Linked DNA regions of Kluyveromyces lactis. The protein of the gene in region 2 interacts with the protein of the main gene of each other region in a pairwise test. Links are inferred from orthologs where the notes say so. Each region holds a gene or a part of one and is shown on either strand. Other genes may lie near its edges. The genes, in order: OPY2 and MSB2.

Region 1 (3,320 bases), on a different chromosome or scaffold from region 2:
TTGCGTATATTCGACGAGTGACTGTCTGAATAGCACCTCTAGGTAGTTTTTGCTGTTGCAGTTATCGGTCGATACCAATTGACCGAGTGATTTATGTGATTTATGTGTGTATCTGTGTTCCCTCGGGGAAACTACGGTTTGCCAGTAGGGTTAGCCTCTTTTTTTGGTTCGACGTAAGTTATTCCGGTTACTGTGGAGGGCCTGTACCCTTGGCATAAGCTGATGTGATGTTTGGGTGAGCAATTGTGATTTAAGAGTTAATCGAAGATCGGACGGGAAGCATATAGGTAGGGTAGCCTAGGGTAGCCCAGGGTAGCATAGCTTAGATATATAAAAACACTGTGGATAGGTAGTATTTTCGAAGTTGGACCGATAATTCTTGGTTCGTTGGCAAATATCGTTTGGAAATCATGTTGGCAGTGAAAATTGCGTATTAAGAGACGTTCTTTTAAGTAGTCAGATTGTGACATGATCGAGTGACATATACATGCAGGGTTCAGTAGATCCTACATTCTATTTGGAAACTTATAGAGCATCGTTGATTTATGGTATATTGCGGGGCTTGTTGGGGGAAAAGGCTCGCATATATACCGAAGGACGCAGGTGCTCCTGACAAGAATTAGCCCGATATAACAGGTCTTATTACATACTGTATCTAAAATTGTACAACTGGTGTGTTACCAAAGATTAGTGGGGAAGGGAAAGTGGTAGTCATGTTTAATGGTGATTACTTGCCATTTCCACGTCCAAGATGAATGATCCCTCGCTGTTTGAGTCAGATGATGAATGCACGGTGGTATGGAACGGATCACGTGAGTCCGAATTGGAGGAGTCCATACTATTTCTATAGTGTCGTATATCTCCTTGTTGCCCTTGTCCTTGTTCTTCTTCCTGTTGCTGTTGAGATTCATTGCCGTGTCCTGCATGACCAATTGAGTTGTCTTGAACATTCGTCTCTCTGAAATGTGATGGATTATCGGTATTGCCCGTTTCGTTAGCCTCTGTTTCGATGTCTTCTTCAGCTTCTTGATCTACTCCATGATTCGCATTTTCATCTTCATCTTCCTCAGCAGTTTCATCGATTTGAACCAATTTCGGTCTAGCTCGGATTGCAGTAGTCATATTATTCGTGGCACCCGCACCATTATTATTATTCCCTGCAAATGAACCGCTTTCTTCCTCGTTCAAATCTTGTAAGTTCTGTTGGAGCTCGTCGTCGTCATCTTCATCACCGCCAAGAATACTGGACCCCAATGTAATATGTGACTTTCGATCTGAATCCTGGTAAAATCTTCTTGAACCTCTTCCTTGGCCTTTCCTCAAATTCTTCTTCGTTAGATTCGTGGTGACACCTGGGATATATGCTACAGGGATGATATTTGATGCGGTACTGGTCTGAACGGTGGCAGCGCTACTTCTATTTCTCTTGTTCCTTTCTCTGACGCGTGATGACGAAGAGCCAACACGAAGCATGCCTGGATGAAGCGGTGATGATCCGTTTGGATCAAGACTCGTACCTTTTTCCATATATTCGGGATCCTGGGGCAATGCAGACCGTTTTCTTTTATAATATCTGTAATACAAGAAGCCCAACACCACGACTATGACTACGAATGCGACACCACCGACGACACCACCAACAATAGGTCCGACCTTATTGCTGGAAGAGGACGACGAAGAAGACGCTCCGCTAGAAATAGCAGCCGCAGACGATGATGATGATGCACTACTACTGCTTGAAGATGCCTTCTTCTGACAATAGGTTCTTGGGCATTGTGTGCACGTTAATGATGTTGTGACACAGTACTCATCATCATCACATTCCGGGCACGTTACATTGTTATCACAAGTGACACAACCATCTTGCAACGAAGTTCCGGAGCTTGCAGTACTAGTGCTAGAACTTGAAGCTGTGCTTGACACACTGCTGCTTACAGTACTGGATACGCTTTCCGACATTTTTCAAGCCGGTACTAGATCGCCAAAACTATATTTCAGTATCACTTCTATGGTGAATAGCTCTGCTGCTGAAAGAACGCGATGAGCAGAATGAATATAAAGTCAACAGACAATATTAAACCGGGAATGGCCCTGTTTATCTTGACAATAGAGAAAGAGCTAGCGGTAAGGGTGGATGGTGGAAAGACCTTGTGGTTCCTTGTCAGATACAACAGATTTTGGAAGTAGTTCAGTATGATATCTGTATGGAATCTTTGATTTTTCGCTGTCTATGGAAGAACCAAAAAAAAAAACCGAAAATACAAAACTCGAAGAGAAGACTGAAAGTGAACCAAAAGTTTTTAACTGATTGACTAATGGATTTATTGAAACTGCTCTTTATTCTATATTGTAATGTATGCCTGTAATTGGGCCAACTCCAGAATTTATAAAACGACTGATTTTTTTTTTTTGGAATAGAATACACAGGCCTCTGAGGCAAGAAACAACCCCATTCAGATTCTTTTTAAACTATTATATTTTTGGATCGCGTCAGCGTTTCAACGTGCGGAATTCTAAATTCTTTGAACGTTGTTTTACATTGCCCAAGAAAAATACTTCACCGCTTCCGTAGTACGTGAAATTCCTCATTTGTAAAGGCCTCTCACTTACCCAATACCACCTTCATTGCAATTAGCACATACCGTTCACTGGAAAATCCAGCTAGCTATCATATTCATTGCACGTTCTGGCTGAATACATGGCTCTTGGTACTTCCCGTTCTAAGCTAGCCAGTCGTCTTTCCTTTTCCTTTTCCTTTTGGCGATTTTCCAAAAGAAAAGAGTGAGCGGATCAGATCCTGAATGTTTTCAAATTCTCGAGCTTGGATTCCTGAATTCTGTGTCACGTGTGTATAAACTTTTCAGTTTTGTTTGAAAGTAACTCGGTGCAACCGGGTAATACGTTATGCAACTCAGATTATCTGTCACTTGTGCCTCCCCTCCCCTTCAACTTAAAAGGTTACAAGCGTACACAGAGTTAACACAGAAATAGTCAACGGGTTCACGATACAGTCCCAATACATATCTGTACCTGATCGCGGCTGCGGGACATTAAAGTACTTTCTGTCATTCTAATTTAAACGAAGAAATCAATTGATATCTTGAGCTAATTCATGTTTTTGTGATACTATATAAGTATAAAGGGTATCATCTTCCTGGATTCAATCTTGAACCGTAGATTAATAACTTATAAGAGACTAAATCCCGCTAGTTAGATGTTTTATGTGCCGTATTCGCTTGCATTCTTTAATATGAGCCATTCTGTTCCACGTTAAGCACAGAAAAATAAAAAATTCCAAAGTTTAACTGAAAGATGAATCA
Region 2 (3,936 bases):
AGACAGAACTAGAGCTAGAGCTAGAGCCAGAGACAGAGACAGAGACAAAATTGGTATCGGACGCAGATGCGACAACGGCTGCACCAAAGATTAAATTAGCACTAAAGAAATCCATTGGAAAGACAAAGAATGAGATAGAAGAGGAAGAGACTCCTGAAACCGATGCGTTCCAACAGAAGTTGAATCTACTAAGGGAAAGCGGCGTAGTGGAAGAACTCGTCAAAGAATACTTGGGAGTTTACGAGCCCGACTTAGTCTCATATATCTTTGAAAACATCGAAGAACATCAATCGAAACAGGCACTCGAGACTGAGCTTACAGAGACGTTCGACGAAGATAGCCCTGTCCTAGTGAGCCGTATATGGGAAGCGATGGAACAGTAGTGGAATATACCATACATGTGAATATACATATATATGTATATGTAGGTATGTGTGTCACATGTCTAATAATGAGATTCTATTACCCGGTTACGTCTCACGTGACTGTCACGAAATTTTTTCGCCCGATTCGAGTGTTCCAGCCAGATCGGGCGGTAACATGAGGTTACTAGAGGTCCGGGTAATCGTGTTTCATATTGATTCGCGTTTTGTATATCGTATATAGCGATACATTCTCAACTTCACCAATTTTTTACCAGATCCAGAACGGTTACAGGAAGAATTGGCAGGATGAGATAAACAAAGGAACAAACATAGAGATTCTATTACTTGTAACTTATGTACACACCTGATAATGGTGGAATTTAGTTTCTGTTTTCGTTCGGGTTGCTTTAGGCAAAAGATAATAAGTTTTTAGATTCGAGATTTATCGTCAGGGTCAAACTTTTCAACAAAGAACGTTACCAGTGGTAATATTTTGGTGTATACATCTTTCTTTTCTTTGTGTTCCTCCATTCATTCATTTATTGATTCATCTCAAATTACTTATAAGTTTTTTATACATTTGATAAGAAGGATCTATTAGAGGTTTTTAATAAAGAAAGATTATCAGAACTGACCTACTGATCCAAATTACCTTCCAATCCTCAGTCTTTAGGAAACTGCCATCGTTTGTTTAGTGAGCTTATACTTTGAACGTGACAAGAGCTTCAGGCAGGTTGAAGTGTACTATCGATCTCTGTTTTTTTTTTCCCCGTCCCATTGTTTGGTGATATAAAATTATTACTTATTATTACGGATTGCCGGTTTGTCATTAGAAAACTTTGAGAATCTCAGGTTTGAACTAAGGCCTTCGGCAAAACTTTGATTACTTTTCCAACTATTTTACATTCTTTTTTCATTTGATTTCATTCGCTTAACACGATGCAATTTTCCAATTTAAGGTTTTTGTTAACCGTTATATTCTTGGGCAACTTTTTAGTATCTGCCCAAGGATTCCTGGATTTTTTCCAGACTTCTCGTTCTGATAACTCTACTAGATCCATTCAGAGTACCGAGACCAGTTCCAGCACTGAGAGCAGTTGGAAAACTACTTTGAATTACGATTCATTGACAGTGGCAGAACCATCCACGTTCTCGCTTTCTTCAAGCACGCACTCTAAGAGTCGTACGAGAAATGGTAATGGCGATGATGATTCGAGTAGTACTTCAGGTACCACTTCTGTGTTGACTCCTTCATCGATCACCTCTTCTGCGATCTCACGTTCTACCAGTGGAAATGGTATCCCATCTTCTGAATACTCGGCTTCCTCCTCGAGCACTGCAAGCGATTCTGCTAGTGTAACTACTCTATCCGGTTCCTCCGCTCTTTCTTCTGAGACTACCTCTTTTGGGACTTCTTCAGCTGAAGATTCTTTTGTTACGACAACTGTTACTGAAACAGGTTCTGCTGAAAGCAGTAGTGATACAGCTTCCTACATCACCGATTCTGCTTCTCAGGTTTCTTCTTCATCAGTCCTCTCGTCCGTGGAATCCTCTTCTACTGAACCATCCACTTTTTCTGTTGTAACATCATCAATTGAGCCTTCTTCAACTGAACAAATTACTTCTGATGAAACGTCCTCAAGTGATGGTGGATATTTCGTTACAACTTTCACTTTCCCTCCTGTTACTTCTTCAACTGAATATTCCACTTCTGATGAAACGTCCTCAAGTGATGGTGGATATTTCGTTACAACTTTCACTTTCCCTCCTGTTACTTCTTCTACAGCATCTGACGAATCTATCCCATCATCAACTACCGATGAATCCACTGGTATTCAATTCCCCACTTCGCGGTCCACAGATGTTTCTTCGACTACTGATGAATCAACTGGAATTTACTTCCCTACCTCAAAATCAACAGAAGTTCCTATATCCACTACTGAGTCCACTGATAATGATTTCTCCACTACAGAATCAACAGAAGTTCCTATTACCACCACTGATGAATCAACAAGAATTTCTCTCTCCACTACAGAATCGACCGAAATTCCTACCACTACGGAAGAACCAACTCCTTCTACTACAAGTGCCGACATCGTGGAACCAACTACCACTGAAATTCCATTAAGCACTACTAGTTTGGAACCTCTACCAGAAAGCAGTACCTCAGAATCTATTCCAGAGCCTTCAACCAGTACTATCCTCACGGAGGAAACATCATCATTGCCAATTGAAACTTTATCGACTTCTGAACCATGGGCTACTGATGACATTCAAATCTCTTCATCAGTGTTACCTCCATCTCAAGATGTTGTCTCATCAGAAACAGTGGTTAGTACATCTGCTCCATCAACAGATACTGAGACATTGGCTCCAACAAGTGCTACTACATCACTTCCAAGCATTGTTACCAAACCAATTGAAGAACCATCATCAAGTACAAGCCAGGTTGGAAGCACTTCCGTAGTTTCTACCGTTGAACCAGTTGTTTCACTACCTTCCACTACTACAGAGCAGCCAGTGTCCACAACACAACAAGTTTGGTTGCCTACTACCATGGTAGCAGAATTCGAAACATCTGGTACTCAATCTACATCTACCACATCTTCAAAGATCGCTACTGAAACATTGCCTCAAGCTATTACAGCTGCCACTGAAATTGTGCAACCTGCAGGATATACGCTAATTACCGTTGGATTCAAGAAGGAGTTGAATTATCCATTTACTGTCAACAATCCCGTTTCTAACGCTCAAATTTTTGAATTTTTGCCAAAGGTTTTGAACTATCCCTTCAATGGGGCCCAAAAATTCGATAATACTTCAGTTTTGGAGTTAGTTCCATTAAAGGTTACAAGTTTAGATTACCTTGTCACTGTTGCAAAAGTATATTTCCCAGAAGATTCTGTCTCGACTCTTCAAGCGCAGATTTTGAACTCTTCCAGTGTCATTTACAATAACGATGTAACAGCATTAAAACAGCTTTCATCGTACATTGATGCCTCTATTCCACTAACTGGTCTTGTCAGTTCAGATTCTGGTTCCTTAATTTCGTCAGATTCTGACTCTGGATCTGACTCTGACTCTGATTCTAGCTCTAACTCTGACTCTGACTCTGGCTCTGGCGGATCTGACTCGACTAAAGAGAAGTCGAGCAGCGGCAGTGCAATTAACTTGGGTTCCTTAGACGATCAAAACTACAACCCAGGATCAAGCAACTATTCCTCTAGTAGTTCAAGCAAATCTTCTACAGGTACGAACGGGAAGACCATCGGAATTCTGGTTGGTTCCATTGTCGGTGGTTTCTTGATAGCCTTGGTTTGCATCTGCTTACTTGCAGTGAGAATTAGAAACAAGAAGAAGCAACTTCAAGCTAATCCAAATCTAGATGACCAACATTCTTACGACAGTTATGATTACGAATCTTCGTTCGATTTTAATCCAGTTGTTGAAAAAGGTAACGTTATGAACGACGACCAGGTGTCAATCAGCCCAAGTGCTAAGATTAATAACTGGATTGATTATAACACTTACAGCGATTACCCTGAAGATGCTGCTTCTGTCGCAAATAATG

Evidence for each region.
Region 1: the proteins of MSB2 (region 2) and OPY2 interact in binary tests that used the Saccharomyces cerevisiae proteins (3 or more experiments, as listed by UniProt). The link is inferred for Kluyveromyces lactis from reciprocal best matches to the Saccharomyces cerevisiae genes MSB2 and OPY2.

Annotation. Positions count from the first base shown.
Region 1 is NC_006038.1:796,407-799,726, reverse strand, and holds OPY2 (Opy2p), read right to left. Parts: upstream 1,960-3,320; coding exon 718-1,959; downstream 1-717.
Region 2 is NC_006039.1:1,596,415-1,600,350, reverse strand, and holds the start of MSB2 (Msb2p), read left to right. Parts: upstream 1-1,304; coding exon 1,305-3,936. Other genes in the region: SNU71 (Snu71p), read left to right, coding at 1-383. UniProt on the Saccharomyces cerevisiae protein: Plasma membrane signaling mucin that promotes activation of the MAPK for the filamentous growth pathway. Partially redundant with the SHO1 osmosensing branch for the activation of STE11.